Linked DNA regions of Cricetulus griseus. The protein of the gene in region 1 purifies or fractionates together with the protein of each later gene. This does not show direct contact. Links are inferred from orthologs where the notes say so. Each region holds a gene or a part of one and is shown in the gene's direction. Other genes may lie near its edges.

Region 1 (4,239 bases):
CCACACTGGCCATTCTGAACACTGGAGAAAACCACGGTGTGATGACAGCTAATTGCTCCAGCTCCTGAAGGTGTGGCCTCAGCCAGGACTGTTTACAATAGTTGGTTACTGGATTTTTTTTTTTGCCTTCACAAGCCTTGATGGACTCTAGATGACACTCAGTCCCCATGTCATGGTCTCCCACCCACCCCACTCCCATGGTATGGTGGAACTTCCTATAGCCCTGGAGCAGAGGATGTGTGCTAAAGGGGCAATGTCCTGACTGGTGCAAACACAAGCCTTGATTTGCACGACTTTGCTGTGTTGGTGCAAACATCCTTTGCAGGCTGTAAAGTAGAAGTTTGACTCAGTTGGGGGGCTCAACGGGGATAAACCTCACTATGTTACTCTCCTCAGTGCTACTACGTTAGGTTCAATAAAAGGCCTCTCCCGAGGGGTGTTTCCTGGCCTTTTAGGAACAACAGGAAGAAAGAGGTGGCCTAGAGCCTGCCGTCTGGCTTACTACAAGAGTTCCTGGGAACTTCAAAGCCATAGGCCCCTGGAGCTAAAGCATTTCCTACTTTACCAGGGGCCGAGGAATCCCCACCTACTCCTAGGCGGTGGGAGGGGGGCGGCTGTCAGATGCTGAGGGTTGCGGACGAGGGTGCCAACTTAACAGCTGAGTAAAGTGTGCTAACAGGGGAAGCTCGCGCTTATAGTCGGCAGGACATCGCTCCTCGTGTATGCAGCATCTCAAAGAAGGGAGAACCACGTGTTTAGAGGGGGAAGAAGGCCCAGGCTGAACAATGGAGCCGCTGTGGTGGGACTAAGAGCACTCTGCCCTAATTAATAACCATGGAGCCGCGCGTTGGTGGCGCACGCGTTAATCCCCGCACTAGGGAGGCAGAGGCAGGCGGATCTCTGTGAGTTCGAGGCCAGCCTGGTCTCCAGAGCGAGCGCCAGGACAGGCTCCAAAGCCGCACGGAGAAACCCTGTCTCGAGAAAACCGATGATAACGACAACAACTATGGAAAGCTGCGAAGCCCTCAAACGCACCGTTTATTTTGTTAACGCGCGGGCAGAATGCAAACCTCCATCTCCTAAGTGGCCGCCTTGCCGCCGCCATTTGGGGCAGCTCCGCTCGTTCCCAGCGCAGCCGCGAAGGGCGTGCCCGCCCCCCCACCTCCCCCGGCCCCGGGAGCCTGACTGAGCTCGGCACCCTCAGGTCACCTTGGGTGCCAGGCTAAGGGCGCCGTGAGGACGCGTCCCGCTCGGCACGCAGACTCCGCGGTGCCCGAGGGCAGCCTGCGGGGAAAGGACGAAGGACGCCGCGGTGAGGGGGCGGGGAGGTGCGAGCCCGCGTCGCGCTCCGGTCACCGGCGGCGGCGGCGGCGGAGTCGGAAGACCTTTTCCGAAGGCACCCCCGAGCGGGCGCGGCCGGAGCCTCCAGGACCGCCGGCTTCCGGCTGCCGACTTCCGGTTTCCGGCATCGCGCGCCTGCGCCCTGGCGGCCGGGAAGGCGGCAGGCCGGGGGGGAAAAGCGCCCGGGACCGGAAGTGAAGGCAGGTTCCCGCCTGCGTCCCCGCCGCCGCCGCCATACGCGCTCGCAGTGCTTAGGTAAGCTGGGGCCTTGCGCGCCATCCGCCGCCATCCGCTCCGGCCCCGCCGCGCCCGCGCGCGCGCCCCTGATACCCGTCGCCCGGGCGGCGGCCTGGCCGCTGCGGCTCGGTCGGGCGCGCGGTGCCGTCGTTTTCGTCCCTTTCTGAGCGAACCTCGGTGGGGAGCGGGGAGACGGGGGCGACGATCCAAAATGGAGGCCCGGGCCGCCATTGTGTCCCCCGCTTCCTGGGTGGCCCGTGGGTCCCCTTCCCGCGCGGGCCGCAGCGGCCGGAGGCGGCGCTGGCGGGAGGGCGGGCCCGGCGCGGCCCGCGGCGGGGACGAGCAGCCGCCAGGGCCTCTGCTTGCCCGCTGCGGCGTCGGCGCTCCCGGAATGCTCACCTTCGGGGAGGAGCGAGGCTGGGGCGCGCCAGACGCTGTCAAGGCCGCTTGGCACCAAGTCCCAGCCTGAGGGTTGCATTTCCCCAGCTGAGAGCCTGCGGCTTTGAAAGCCCACCCTTGTGGCGAGCGCCTCGCGCGTGGCCGGGCAGGCATTAAAATGTAACTGTCTGCGCTGCCGGCTTCTGGCGTTGTTTGCCTGCTTTTTGGCCTTGAGCCCCTGGCGCCCCTGCTCCCGCGGTTAGGTGCAGCGGGCCCGCCTCCCCGCCCTCCGTCCTTCAGCTCCTGCTCCCCCAGGACTGGGGTCCCAGGTGAGCGCCTCCAGCGCGGCACGCAGGTGCCGCTGGACAGGGGAGTAAGTAGCAGCCACGTGATGTTTGCAATGGGAAGTGAGCGCTCCGCGCAGTGCTGACCTTCATCTATCACCCTTGACTGATGGCTGCTGGGGGGACCAACACCGTGGGGCCACAGGGAGAGCGCAGTCTGAGGTCCCCTCCTGTCCCACGCATTGTCACCCTCCCGCGGGTGGCTTCGGGCTCATCTTTTCACGGTCTCGGGAGTTGCTCCTCTTGGGTCAAAGTGCGAGCCCAAGTCTGTCCAGCAGTCACACCCGAGACCACTCTCCATTTTTTCTCGCCCGGTGTTCGTTTTCTCTTACTTTTCTTCCAGGGCAGAGGTTTGTAGTTGAGGGAGAACACGAAGAAAGTGAGGGTGGGCGAGAAGTCCCTACGTGACTGATGAGCTCTTCTTTTTTTTTTTTTTTTTGTTCTCTCTCCCAGCTCTTCTGTCGGGAAACTGGTGTCTCTTCCCTTGCTGTTCCTCAGCCCCCTCTCTCCCCCTTGCTTTCTCACCTTCTCTGGGACCACTCACCCAAAGACCTCCCTTCTCCCCTGCCGGCCCAATTATGGCAGAGAATGATGTGGACAATGAGCTCTTGGACTATGAAGACGACGAGGTGGAGACAGCAGCAGGTGGAGATGGGACGGAAGCTCCTGCCAAGAAAGACGTGAAGGGCTCCTACGTCTCCATCCACAGCTCCGGCTTTCGAGACTTCCTGCTCAAGCCAGAGTTGCTCCGGGCCATCGTGGACTGTGGCTTTGAGCATCCATCAGAGGGTACATTTTATTGTTGGGCATAGGGACCTCATGATGCATCTTAAAGATGGGATTTGTGTTTAGGGTATATAGGCCAGGCAATGAGAATGTACCCAGATGTTAGCGCTAGAAGATGCTTGTTAGCTTTGATCACACAGGATGCTGTTTGTCCTGTGCCCAGGTTTTCTTGTTTGCTTGATCGTCTTTCTGACTGTTTGGCTGGAGTTTTACATCCAGTATTTTGGGCCAGGCCACCTGGGGTCTTAATGATTGCTCTAAAGTTGCTGGCTTCTGGGGCAAGTACCAAGTCCTTCATTTTGTCCAAGGTTATAGAATGCCAGGCACATGGAAGGTAAGCTGTTGGTAGGTGCAAGAGGGTTTGCGCCAGGGAAACCTGAAGCTAGGATGCAGTTGAGACTTGATTTGGGTGTAAATGTGACTAAGGGGACAGAGAGGATGGGTCAGTCTGAAAAGTGACAGGGACCAGGCAAAATCTGGAGAATCAACTCGAGGAAAGGGGTTTGGTATGGTGCATAAAGTCTCTCTCTTTCTCCCCTTTTTCCTTCTAGTCCAGCATGAATGCATCCCACAGGCCATTCTGGGGATGGATGTCCTGTGCCAGGCCAAGTCAGGCATGGGGAAGACAGCAGTGTTTGTCCTGGCCACACTGCAGCAGCTGGAGCCAATCACTGGGCAGGTGTGTTTGAGGCAGTGCTGCAGAGGGCTTTGAGGCCGATACACTGAAGGCTGTTTGTGGCTACATAATGCTTACAGCAGCAAGGCTTACTGTTTTAAACCTCAGATTTGATGTCACAAATAACTTGACAGATGCTGCTGTTGACAGTCACTCTGGAGAGAGGGTGACAAAGGACTGATAGGGTGTTGTCTCCATTTGTTCCCTTGAAGGTGTCTGTGCTGGTGATGTGTCACACTAGGGAGTTGGCTTTTCAGATCAGCAAGGAATACGAGCGCTTCTCAAAGTACATGCCGAATGTCAAGGTAAGGGTGAGGCGCTTGGGACAGCGGAGGTCCTGGGAGCTTGTGGGGTAACAGTTGACTGTCCTGAGGCATGGAGCCGCTGTAATTGATGAGTTCCTGAAGGCTGCATAGGAGCCTTTAGTACAGTGACAGGCTCTTCTGATCCACAAAGTCAGTTCAGGGGCCCTGGGCT
Region 2 (4,264 bases), on another chromosome or scaffold:
AACCTCTAAGCCTCCCCGCTCCCCAGGAGGGCACTCTTCACAGACTCAAGCTCTGACCCCACTCTGGCTTCTGACCCTTTCTTTTCCTACCTCCGTCATCACCATTACATCCCACCTGCATCTAGGGCCCATGGGCCTAGGACTGACCATTCCCCGGCCTCATTATAGGTGTGAGTGGTGGGGAAACTGGGATGGTGTGTGTGTGTGTGTGTGTGTGTGTGTGTGTGTGTGTGTGTGTGTGTGTGTGTGGTGGGCACCCAGAGCTCCTGAGGCAGGGCCTGTGAAATGTGGGATCTTAAAGCCTCCCCCCTTCATCCCAGTCCAAAGCATTGCGGTGAGCGTACACACTGGCTTCGTGGCTAGATGACTGACCAAATCAGAGCAGGAGACTACTCACTGAAACCACCTCCTCTTCACAGATTAGCCCCAGTAGAGCTTGGCCAGGCTCTGGGTTCTGGCCCCTCCCTGGGGAAAGGGTTGATGGTGATGGACAGGTCTTCTGGAGCTGCGGGCTGCGGGGGGGGGGGGGGGGGCTCCAGCGTCCTCCATTCCACAGGAGAGAGTGCCGGGAGGCCTTTCTGTGCCTCCACTTACCCATAGGAGACTCTGTGAGGCCCAGGCCTTTCTGCGCTCAGAGCTTTGGGAAATAACAGACGCCAGAAAGTTCACCCTGGAGTGTCTTTGGAGGTTCTCTGCCTTGGAGACCCTACTTGGAGTTCCTTAGGAGGTACGGTGTTTGGAAAAGAAGAATGATTTCCTAGACACCCATCCAGGAGGAAGAAAATGACTGGGATGGCCAGGTGATGAGCTGGGTGGGGTAGAGTGGCTGAGACAAGGTCATAGGGCAGGGATGGAGGGAGGGGTATGGTCAGGGAGAGGGGTCTGAGCGGGATTCAGACAGGCTGGCATAGCTAGAGGGGGTGTGCTGTGTTAGCTGGGACAGGACTGCTTTTGGCCCTGGGAGTGACGACGGTAGACCAGGAGGGGTCCTCACGGAGGAAATGGGCTATTGACAACCCAGGCTTGGCTTGATGGGGAACTAAATTGGAGCAGGGACAGGGTAAGGACCAGAATGGGTTTAATGTAGGGTGGGATGGACCTGGGAATGAGGTGAGGTTCGGCTGGAGTGAAATCAATCAAGGGGCTCAATGGACCAGTTATTCTGGGGAGGCAGAGAGGGGTGAACTTGGGCCTGGAATCTTGGTGGGTTTAGAATTTAGGGAGAGGGTGTCTACTAGGTTGGGGACTAGGACAAGGCAGGTTCATGGGACTGGCCCTGGGAGCAGAGTGGGAGCTTAAGGTCCGGGTACAGGTCAGCGGGGCAAGGGGCATGGGGGCGCCCCGGGGCAAGCTGGGAAGGGGGGGTGGACCTCCCCCTGGGCCGGGCCTGGGCGGCGCTAGGACCGAGCGAGCGAGCCGAGGGAGTGAGCCGGGCGGAGCCAGCGCCCCCCGCCCCCGCCGGCCGGCTCCCCTCCCCCGGCCGCTGGCTCGTTCGCTCTCAGCGCTGCAGAGGCTCTGAGGCGGCCGCGGCGACTCCCTCATCCCCTCCCTCCGGTGTCGGTCGGTCCGTCCGTGCGTCTGTCCGTTCGGTCTCGGTCCGGCCCGCAGCATGGCCGGCGTGAGCTTCAGCGGCCACCGCCTGGAGCTGCTGGCGGCGTACGAGGAGGTGATCCGGGAGGAAAGCGCGGCCGACTGGTGAGCCCCCGCCCCCGCCCCGCCCCCGGCCCTTTGTCCCCAGGCCGCCACCGCGCCTTTGTTTCTCGGAGGCTCTGCCACCGGGAAGGGAGGGGGATCTCCCGAAATGGTGCAACGGCCCGGGAGAGCCGGGGAGGGGCTGCCTTTGTGCGAGCCGGGGGAGGGGCCGGTCGGGCCAGGCGGGGCGCGCGAGCCGGGGAGCCCCGAGGCCGCCCTGGGCGCACTGGGGGCGCGGGAGCCGGACGCCTGCCACGCGGATGTGGAGCTCAAAGGTGGGGCCCGGGGTCCTACGGCCCCGCCGGAGCCCATCCCCTCCCCCCCAGCCTCCCTCCACGGGCCCGGGGGACAGGTGTGCACGGGCCAGCCAAGGGCACCTTCGCCACCTTCGAGCGGGCGAGGACCGGGTGGGGACGGGGCGGGGACCGAGCTAGCGGAGCTGGAGCAGCCTGGCCGGCCACAGCACAAAGGAAAGCTAGGGCGGGGGAGGAGCGCAGAGGGCCGGGGGCCAGCGTGCCCCGCCCACCAGGGGCTTCTCAGGGTTGTCTCCCCCCACATCTAGGTTAGGGTGTGATAGAAAGGGGCGCACGGCCACATGGCAACCACGAAGTGACTCCTTTATCCCTCCCGGATCGCAGAGGAAGAGAGGTAGGGCTGAGCCCTTCTCTCCCCTTCTGAAGGAGGAGATCGTTAGGGACTAGGCAGCTAGGCAGGAAGAGACCCAGGACATGGACCCAGGCAGCTTGTCTAGAAGGCCAGCTAGGAGGAAGCATGGTGGGAGCCCCCGCTGAGGGATACCACGATGAGTAGATCTCTGGGACCCTAGCCTCTTCACTCTACCAGGGGCTGTCAGCCTCTTATTAGGGTGGTATGAGTGGACCTGCGTCTCTCCCCCTCCCCAGCTGTTATCCTCCCTGAGGTGGAGGAGGGTTTAAACCACCTGCTCAGCGGCTGAAGCCCCAGGGTGTCAGGCAAACCAAGGGGTTTGATGCCCCATTCTGAACACAGCCCCCAAGTGTTCTTCTTAGGGAGCAAATCTCCATTTTGCATTTAGGTCTCTTCACCTCATCAGACAGAAAGTAGGCTCCTCTTGAGTTGGGGCTGGTCTGAGGACCCCAGTTGGGCTGGCCACACTCTGGGAGGGCAGCCAGGTAGGGGGCCTGGAGGAGGGAACAAAATAGCCAGGCCTCCATGCCATGGTACTGCAGCACTGGCGGGCAGCCAGGCCCAGAGGGATGGACTCAGGAGACAAGTTCTTGTGTCTTGCAGGTCAGTTATAGGAGAGGCTGAACAGGCCAAGCAGGCAATCCCCACATTGTTGTCCCAGCCCTGTCCCTGGGGGGCTGAGATCATGGGAGGCAATCTGGGCAAGTGGCCTGCTTGGACTGGTGGAAGAGCTGGTTTGGGGATATGGCCCTGCCTGAGGAGAAACACTGACTGGAACCCTGCCTTCCTCCCCAGTCTAGGGGGGGTGTAGGCAGCACCCCAAATCTCTTAACCCCTCAGAAGCAGACACTGGCAGTACAATGCTGGGCCTATCCAACTCCTGCTGCCCCGCATCCTGCTCAGCAGAGGCCGGGGCTTTCACCACCAGCAACATCCATGTGGCCAAAGGGAGTTAGTTATGCATCCTTGGCATGCGTCAGCCCCATCTGGGTGGTGTGTGGGACACACACACACAGCTGCACATATACACCCCTGGAATGCATATATGTTTGCTTCCTCCCAAGGGCCTAACAGCATGTTGTGAACAGGGTGTGAAGATCACATTTTACAGAAGATGGCATGATCCTTCCCAGCTCTTATCACACAGCCAGGAACTGAGTGAGGTCCCAAGGTTCAGTGCAGGCCCTGCAGGAGGAGGTCCTGGGTCCAAATGTTGGGGCATGAGTATTTGGTGTCTGTCTTTGAATGTGGGTGTGGTGGAGCTTAGGGAAGCTGAGCCCTAGGTGGCAGGGTCTCTTCAGAGGACCACTGCCTTGCGCTGGAAGCAGAACACTGGGGAAGTCAGATTGTGCATTTGGAAAGGCCAGCAGCACCCTGGTTACGATATGATTCATTGTGTGAGAAGTTCCTGCTCTTCTGAAGCTTCTGAGAGAAGAGGGGGCTGGGCACAGCCCCTGCAGGGTTTCCAGGGCCTTTCCAGCTCTAGCTCCCTGACAGTATGCTGGTCCTCAGCCTTCCACTCCTAGCAGGCCTGGAGCTGCTGAAGTCCCACTCTCACCTTGCCCTAGTCTCGTGCCTGTGGCTTAGATGGTTGATAAGAGTTTGTGCCAACATTACAAATCCCTACAGTGGTGCTACTTTGAGCTGGACCCAGGACGGAGACAGCAGTTGGTATTAGCAGAGTCAGAGTTTTGCCTTCACAGAACTGACATGACAGTCTGTGGCAGTCACTGTCTCCAGGGTTTAATGCTACCGAGGGGAGCACATCTACAGTCCCCTCATCCACGTTTACTTTTTTGCTTGCCTCCCAGTTCCCACCAGCCGGTCACCAGGTGCTTGTGGTATGGTAGAGAGACGTTGTCCAGCAGGGTCTGGGGCTAGAACAGATGTCTGTGTTAGCGTCATG
Region 3 (4,011 bases), on another chromosome or scaffold:
ATTAATAGTATGTCTCTGAGTAGTTATTTGGGAAGTGATTGCAGTACAGAGCTGATCCTGATCCGGACGAAAAACTCCAACTACTTTGTCATTTGTGTGCATGTATTTCTACTCCTTGCTTTATTCACGTAAACAGTATGCAGACTCATTCCAAAGTAACAAATAACTTTTTGTTTGTTTGGTTTTTTGAGACGGGGTTTCTTGTGTAACAGCTCTGGCTGTCCTGGAACTCTGTAAACCAGCCCGGCCTGGAGATCCGCCTGCCTCTGCCTCCCGAGTGCTGAGATTAAAGGCATGGGCCACCACCGTCGGTAACTATTAATGCCTGCATTCTCTCCAGGAAATGGGATTTCAATGTTTATTTCCGTTATAAACAAAGTTGATCCTCCTCCCATGGTAAAGGATCTTCTCTTTCTGAGAGTCATCTGTTAACCTCCTTCCCCATTTTCTTTAGTTTCCCAAGGCCTTGCGATGTAAAGTGCAATATTTTCAGTTAGCCTAGTGGGACTACACCGTGGCTCTTTTTATCACCCGGTCTATACTGTCATGGTACCCTCATAAATCACCTGAGCCAGGACACCTTCACTGGGGATTAGCAGTTCTCACGGAGCTGGCTAAGCCCAGCAAGCCTAAGAACGGCGTCCCATCTGAGAAGTCACGCCGTTCTTGCTGTGCTCAGGATGGCTGTCGGTCTTCCTGGAGTGTTCCATCTCCAGAATCTGTTCTCGGACACCCCGGACCCTCACCCGGCTGCCTTCCCGGGCTTGCAGCCTAAGGCCCCTCCCGAGCTGCCCACGCGCGCAGCCTCCCTGCTCCTCGATTCACGCCCAGAACCGTCCAGGGGAGCGAAGCGGGCGGCCGCCGCGGGGAGCGGCGGCTCTAAGTCCCCCTAAACTTAGAACGCGGGACGCCCCGGCGTGAAGCCGCTGTCTCCGCGTTCCGGCGCCGGCGCGCGGAAGCATCCCGCGCGGACTGTGTGTCCCGAACCAGCCAATCGCGAGCCGCCTGCTCGGATTCCTCCGCCCAGGCCGTGCTGCAGCCGCAGGTGGCCCGGCCGAGCGCGTCCAGCGGCGGCCGCCGTCCCGAGATGCCTCGCGGGTGACCTCCGACCTCGCGGGCCCGCCCTTCTCTCCGGCCGCTTCCCTCCCCGGCCCGGCTGAGCTTGCAGAGCCCCCACGGGGCAGGTGCGGGACGCGGAGGGCGGCCTGGGCGCGGCGGCTGGCTGCGGCGGCTCCTCCACGCCCCGAGGCCCCGAGCGGGCCGGCCAGACTCCCTTCGCTTCCCCTCCTCGCCGGAGGCGCCCGGCGGGGTGACCGAGGCCGTGCCCGAGAGGCGCGTATCGGGTGAGTGGGCCACGGGCGGGGCGGCGGCGGGGCGCTCGGGCGGGGCGCGCTCGGGGCGGGGCCGGCGGCGGGGCCTGGTTTCCTCCCTCAGCGCCATTTTGTGTCTGCGAGACCCGCAAATAAAGGCTAGCGCCGGGGCTGCGGCGGCGCGGCCTCGGCCTGTGTGACTGGCGGCGCCCGCGCAGCCTCGGGCTGGAAAGGTAGGTGCGGCCGGCAGCGGCGAGGGCCTGCGGGGCCGGGGAGCGAGGCGCGGCCGCCCAGGACCCGGGGAAACGCACGCCGGGCCCGAAGGGCGATCCGGCCTGGGACCGCGCCGGCTTCCCGTTAACCCGGGCGGCTAGCTGCCCGCGGGGACAACGCACCGCCTCGGGGCCGTTTTACTTCCGCCACTGGCGGCCGGGAACGAGGCGGGCGTTCCCGCGGCCGGGGAGGCGGGGAGGCCGGCCGGAGGCCGCCCTCTCGGGGCTGACTGGCCATGCCGGCCCTTTCCCCGCCTCTGTCGCCCCCTCCCACCTCCCAGGGCGGGTTCCCGGCGACCCAGAGGTACCGACGAGTTCTGCCGGGCACAGACCAGAAGGGTTCGGGTTTTTTGAAACCGAATTTCACGTCACGCAATAGCTTGTAGCTGCAGCCGCGTTCTCCCGTGGACTTCCATTTTTAAATAAGTGCATGCATTGTGAGGAGAATTGATTTTTGACAGGTTCGAGACATTTTTCGTCAACTTTCAGTCTCGTTTTGGATCTCTGTGAGGCTGATTTGAACAAACTTAAAACAGTTTTCCATAAGAGTGAATGCACAGTGGGAAAAGGTCTAAGTTTTTGTGTTTGTGTACATGTTTTCTTACGGGGTGGGGGGGCGGCTAGGGATGGAATCCTAGGCCTTGTGCATGCCAGGCCAGCTTTCTGCCTTTGAGCTATTCCCCCGGCCCCCAGTTCTTGGTTTGATAATGAGGAAGTCGGTTAATTTGACCCCAAAGGACTGAAACACTTAACTGGTTGTAAAGATCGGGGGCGTGTTACAGCTTCAAGCAGCATTTAAGTTTCATTTGTTCATAATTTTTATTTATGCCCCTTTACGTCGTTTTCACCCTAGCTTTTTTCATTTAGTTAATTTTATTGATCCGAAAGATGAGTGGAAGTCACAGATCTGTTATTACAAATTCTGGTGTTTTGTTGTTGTCTTTTTTCTTCCCTTTAACTTGCATTTTTGAGCATTAGGACTGGAGAGTTACCTCGGTAGTTAAGAGCACTTTTTGCTCTTCTAAAGGACATGAGTTCCCACAACCCAAATGATGGCTCATGGTCATCCTTGAATCCAGTTCCTGGGATTCTGACTTCCTCTTTTGATATCTGTGGGCGGCACCAGGCCTGCACGTGGTGCACATACATACGTACAGAACATTCATAAATATAAAATCTTTTTTTTCAAGTGGCTGATTTTGTACAACATTCATAAACATAAAATCTTTTAAAATAGCATGTTTTTTTCTAAAGCTGAACATTAGGTTTTCTCATAGGTAAACAGACGTTTGAAATGAAGACGAATTTTCGAGGTGGCTAGGTTTATTCATTCATTCATTCAGTCACGACTGATCAGGGAGTTGAGTAGACTGCAGTCCGACAGGTGGCTTTGGATGTGATTGAAGTTGAATTCTAAGAATTTGGGCAGAGTGCTTTAGTTCTTCACACCTAAGCAGATGAATGTGTTTGCACAACCATATAATATACTGTTTGTAATAGCCTTTTATTTTGGTTTTGGTTTTTCAAGACAGGTTTTCTCTATGGCTTGGGAGGCTGTCCTGGAACTAGCTTTTGTAGACCAGGCTGGCCTCGAACTCAGAGATCTGCCTGCCTCTGCCTCTGCCTCCCTAGTGCTGGGACTAAAGGCATGCACCACCACCGCCCAGCTATAATAGCCTTTTGATGTATTTAGACAGACTTTACAGCTTTCAAGGTCCCTCCTGTCTTTTGTTGTTGTTGTTATAGACTCCCCTTGAAAATATTGTTGGCCGTCTTGATTAGTCCTATGTAATAACAGTTGTATTACTTGTATCATGCTCTTTAGAAGTCTTTAGTCAACCTTTAGCAAAGCAAGATGTAAGATAAAGATAACATTACTCTTGTTTTTAATTATCTCCTGTTTTCTGACTGAATATATGAAAAATTTTCAGTATTCCCCTAGTTGTATAAGCTATTGGATTTAGTGAGACTCTTCCATCAGACTAGAATTCAGTGTTGTCAATGTTCTCTGCCTTAAAGATAGATGCTGGTGGAGTTTATTTTCCTAATGTTTATTAAGTTTTCTATGTTGTTCAAACAATCCTTGTTTGAATAGTGTTTTTTTATGCCACCAATAACAGAGGTATGCAGCATGTTATTCGCCAAGCAACACTGGTTTTACTCTCTTTTACTAATACGGAAACTGAAGCCTAGAGTTAAGTGACTTGTTGGACTAAGCATGTATGACTGACTGAAATAGTGGTCTGATTTGTAACTAGTCCCTTGGTCCTGCAGTGTTGAAGGCCCAGCACTGTCAGGTAATGGTTTCCTTATATCCAGTGTGATTTACTTCAGGGATGCATATACATGTCTTCTTGCATAAGTTATATTGGCTTGTGCTCTCCCTTCTCCAGAGTCTGCTCAGTTGCCTAACTTAGGATCATAGTGTT
Region 4 (4,139 bases), on another chromosome or scaffold:
ATAAAGTGTTGAGTTTTTCCTAGAGTTTTTCTTAAGTACATTTATCCAGAAGTTGGTCTAGGTTAGATAATTGAATGAAGAGGCTGTTCTGTCATTGGAAATTGTTCATCTCCTTACAACATACCAACTGCTTTTTGTAGTTCTATTGTTGTTAGTCATTGTCACTCTGCAAAACAGGCTGTCCAGGCAACCATTCCACCTCAGACTTACGGCTGCTAGGATGAAGGTCATACATCATCGTGTCCTGTCTTGAGGACTATCATACCATTAGCCCTTATAACACTTATCAATGCTTACATGAAAAGCTTCAGAATTCCTTCCTTTCATTTGACACTTTACTTTGGGAAAGGGTACTATCAAAGGGTTCATCACACAGAGGAATGAGGCGGGAGAAAGTATCTGAGAGCTAGATGGCCAAATGCTTTGCCTCCTCATGGTCTTTACAGCTCCTAATATCCTAAGTGCAGCAACAGAAATAGCTCGTGTAGACACTTTTGAGAAGCTCGAGTCCACTCTAGGGCATGAGCGACTGCCCTTCTCTTACAAGCCTCTTTTAAAAAAGATTTGCATTTCTCTTTATTTGTGTGTGTGTGTGTGTGTGTGTGTGTGTGTGTGTGTGTGAGAGAGAGAGAGAGAGAGAGAAAGAGAGAGAGAGAGAGAGAGAGAGAGAGAGAGAGAGAGAGAGCGCACACGCACGCAGGTGCTCATGTAGGCCAGAAGATGGTGTCAGATCCCCCAGGATCAGAAGGTAACGGGCAGTTGTGAGTCAACAGCTCCAAGTGATGATCTTCAAGCTACACAGTGAGTTCCATGCCAACTTCAACTACATCAGATGACTCCCACCTCCAGTCTCAAAAAAAAAAAAAAAAAAAGGAAAAGAAAAGAAAAAAAAAATCAAAGCTCTTGAGGATTTTGGACACCACCTACTCTCTTCCAGCTCTTTCTTTCCATGAGGAAACTCAGGTCTACTAAGGTGAAGTGACTTAATGCTAGTCTGAGCCAGGCCTCATTCACAGCTCTTTGCAGCACAGGTCATGGCCTCTTGTAAAATACCTCTGCACAGAACTTACCCTGACAGCACCAGGAACTTCCCTGCCGCTGAACTTAGACCAGACTTCTGAGTGAATCTCAAATCAAATTGCGGCAATCCCTAATCAGAGACAGCTAAGGGTGAGCCAGAGAGGAAACAACAGGCAGTCACGGGAGCCACGCCTCCCGCAACGCCACAGGGCTACCGCGACGTTAGCGATCACGAGTCGAATACGCCACCGGGAGCGAGCACGCTCGCCCCAGGCCCCTCGAGAGGCGGGAGGCGTGCGCGCCTCCGCACTGGGGGTGTGGACGGGGCGTGGCCCTGAGCCGGAACGGGGCGGGGCCGCCGAGCTGTAGGTGCTGCTGCCCAGTCGCGACAGGTGCGCTAGGCAGAGCGTAGGGACTGTGGCCGTGCAACGCCGAGCACCGACGACTTTCTAGTCTGGTAAGACCCTCCTCTCCCCTCATCCACGGAGCCTGTGTGTACTCGGAGGTCCCGGCTACACTCCGCGCCTTTTGAGACGGGGTGCAACAGGAGCGGGAACTTCTCCCCTGGGGGTCGCCAATGGAGGAACCTCCCACCCTGCACTCGCCCTTCTGGGAAGTGCGCCGGGATGAGTCTTTGCTGCCCCGGCCCTTGGTCTCCCACGTGATGGAGGGAAAGTGGCAGTTCAGCAAAAGTCAAAACTCCCTCTCAGGGAGATAATTCAGCAACTCTTTCCTTCTTCCATGCGGCCGTTCCCTCTCGTTTTTCTCCCTTCCATTCCTCCAGATGAACTCTGATAAAGACTTAACATAGCAGATTCTACTTGCTGTCCTACTCAAATCCCTCTCATGTACTTGAGCTGGGACCCGCTGGTCACTCACATCCGTAGGTGTTAATATTAGGTAACTGTACACCCCATGCCACACACACTAACGCTTGAATTTGTGGGTGCTAGGAGTGAACCATCTGGCGCCCGTCCTAGCCTCCTTATTGGTGCTCAGAACAATGAGTTTAGCTGATCCTGGTGAGAGATACCGACCTTCTATTGTCTTGCAACTAATTCCAGCTTTCAAAAATCTGCCTAATCCAAATGGTTCCGTTGACTTTACAAGTTAGCCAAAGGCTCTGGGGTTATCACTTTTTAAGACAGTGCCCCTTGGAAGAGAGATCATCTTTTGCACCTAAGTGGGTAAGTGGAATACTTTTTATCTACATAGTTACTGGTGCAATATACATTCTAGCTAGCGTCTACAGAAGGCCTTTCCGAATTCTATGGATAAAGTGTGCTCTTGTTTAGACAACCTTCAAAAAGCTATAAAGTTGGTAGAAAAGTTTTCTGTTTTCAAGAAACAACTAATTCGCCTTCCCTCCTCGCCCTTCTACTTCTTTAAAAAGTTCCTGGCTGGCCTTGAGCTGGCTATATGGATCAGGCTGACAGAGATGTGGCTGCTTCTGCCTCTCAAAAGCTAGGTTTAAAGGTGCTTCACCATCCCTGGATATACATACAAACATACATACATACATACATACATACATACATACATACATACATATCCGTGTGTGTGTGTGTGTGTGTGTGTGTGTGTGTGTGTGTGTGTGTGTGTGAGAATACCAGCACAGTGTGCCATGGCAGGTTTCTGTAGGTCAGAGGACAGTTGGTTCTCTCCACCTTGGGATTTGAGGATCAAACTCAGGTCATCAGTCTTTTGTAGTAAATGTTTTCACATGCTGAGCCATCTTGCCAGCCTGGAAAGGTTTTTTTTTTTTTTTTTTTCTTTTTTTTTTTTCAGTTACTGTTTTACATTTATTGGGTGTGTATGTGTATGTGCCATGGCATGTGTGTTGTGTGTAGGTCAGAGAACAACTGTGGGAGTCTGTTCTTTTCTTCCACCATGTGAGTTCCAGGGATTAAATTCAAGGTGTCAGGCTTCGTGGCAAGCACCTTTTACCTGATGAGCCATCTTGCCAGCCTAGAAAAGGTTACCTGTTTTTAAAGGTCTGCACACACACACACACATATATTTGCATTGACAGAATAATATAACATGGTACTAAATTATGTTAGGAATGAGGGGGGACAAAACACTTTTTTTCTCAGTGAATTTTATGTCAGTTCTTTTGTAGATTCAAAGTTCCAAAGTCCCTACCCTAAAAGAGCCTACAATTAAGTGGGTTAGGCAACACCACAGATACAACTTACAGTATTGGTGAAATCATTTGCCATTATTACCCTCGGAAAACCCACAAGTGTGTTGGGTATCAAACCCTGGGGCGTGCACATGCTAGAAAAGCACTCCCAACTGCTGTGTGTTTTACCACTCATATTTCTTGCCTTGTCTTTGGTCAGTAGCTCTATGGCCCTTTGAAAATGGGGTTGGAACATGTTTAATTCTCCAGCAATTAAGTAGATAGGTAGCTATTTATTGTTAATGTGTTAGATGCAGAAATAGTGTTATCAGGTGGTCCCTGAACCATGGAGTATGTGGGCTGAGACAGTGTGTGGCATGGTTAGCAAAGCAGTGCCGTTTTGTAAAAATTACCTCATTGTGTGACTTTGTTTGACTTGGTACATTCAGGCTTTGTTCCCGACTCTAGTTAAAGGTGGAGCCAAGTTTCAACCTAATAATTCTAGGAAGAGAAAGCTTCAGAAATGAAAACAATTCTATTAACAGCAGAGACACTTCTCACTGCTTAGATACTCTTTAAATGTCTTGTTTTGACTCTGGGTGTAGCTCTGTGGTAGAGTGGGTTTAGCATGTGAGAGCCTGTGTCCCATCCCCAGAACATGCACACACAGATTATGAAATAGATTTTGTCTTAGGTCTGTTAGAGGAAGAGGTTGGAGCCTATGAGGGTTCTGTGGAGAATTTTGATGATCTGATATCTGAACTTTATGGTAGCCTTTGAAGACTCTTCATTTGGAGCTAGAGAGATGGCTCAGTGGTTAAGAGCATAGGCTGCTCTTCTAGAGGACCCAGGTTCAATTATCAGAACCCACATGACAGTCACAACTGTCTGTAACTCCAGTTCCAGGGAATCTGGTGCACTGACGTGATTGAAGGCAAAATAACAATGCGCATAAAAATAAATAGAATATTAAAAAAATAATAATAAGAAGAAA

Evidence for each region. The genes of interacting proteins can lie anywhere in the genome.
Region 2: the proteins of Ddx39b (region 1) and Dbn1 purify together in Homo sapiens (affinity purification with mass spectrometry, with the first as the bait; 3 studies listed by BioGRID). This does not show direct contact. The link is inferred for Cricetulus griseus from reciprocal best matches to the Homo sapiens genes DDX39B and DBN1.
Region 3: the proteins of Ddx39b (region 1) and pre-mRNA-splicing regulator WTAP purify together in Homo sapiens (affinity purification with mass spectrometry; 3 studies listed by BioGRID and IntAct, with this or other methods). This does not show direct contact. The link is inferred for Cricetulus griseus from reciprocal best matches to the Homo sapiens genes DDX39B and WTAP.
Region 4: the proteins of Ddx39b (region 1) and Lima1 purify together in Homo sapiens (affinity purification with mass spectrometry, with the first as the bait; 3 studies listed by BioGRID). This does not show direct contact. The link is inferred for Cricetulus griseus from reciprocal best matches to the Homo sapiens genes DDX39B and LIMA1.

What each region holds. Positions count from the first base shown.
Region 1 is NW_023276806.1:231,768,226-231,772,464, forward strand, and holds the start of Ddx39b (spliceosome RNA helicase DDX39B), read left to right. Parts: upstream 1-1,439; 5' UTR 1,440-1,596; intron 1,597-2,262; exon of another isoform or gene 2,263-2,285; intron 2,286-2,339; exon of another isoform or gene 2,340-2,415; intron 2,416-2,753; 5' UTR 2,754-2,878; coding exon 2,879-3,089; intron 3,090-3,637; coding exon 3,638-3,765; intron 3,766-3,974; coding exon 3,975-4,067; intron 4,068-4,239. UniProt on the Homo sapiens protein: Involved in nuclear export of spliced and unspliced mRNA. Component of the TREX complex which is thought to couple mRNA transcription, processing and nuclear export, and specifically associates with spliced mRNA and not with unspliced pre-mRNA.
Region 2 is NC_048596.1:274,473,042-274,477,305, reverse strand, and holds the start of Dbn1 (drebrin), read left to right. Parts: upstream 1-1,464; 5' UTR 1,465-1,609; coding exon 1,610-1,695; intron 1,696-4,264. UniProt on the Homo sapiens protein: Actin cytoskeleton-organizing protein that plays a role in the formation of cell projections. Required for actin polymerization at immunological synapses (IS) and for the recruitment of the chemokine receptor CXCR4 to IS.
Region 3 is NC_048595.1:288,069,238-288,073,248, forward strand, and holds the start of pre-mRNA-splicing regulator WTAP, read left to right. Parts: upstream 1-1,211; 5' UTR 1,212-1,343; intron 1,344-1,399; exon of another isoform or gene 1,400-1,543; intron 1,544-2,049; exon of another isoform or gene 2,050-3,031; intron 3,032-4,011. UniProt on the Homo sapiens protein: Associated component of the WMM complex, a complex that mediates N6-methyladenosine (m6A) methylation of RNAs, a modification that plays a role in the efficiency of mRNA splicing and RNA processing.
Region 4 is NC_048595.1:396,312,528-396,316,666, reverse strand, and holds the start of Lima1 (LIM domain and actin-binding protein 1), read left to right. Parts: upstream 1-1,339; 5' UTR 1,340-1,477; intron 1,478-2,630; exon of another isoform or gene 2,631-2,646; intron 2,647-4,139. UniProt on the Homo sapiens protein: Actin-binding protein involved in actin cytoskeleton regulation and dynamics. Increases the number and size of actin stress fibers and inhibits membrane ruffling. Inhibits actin filament depolymerization.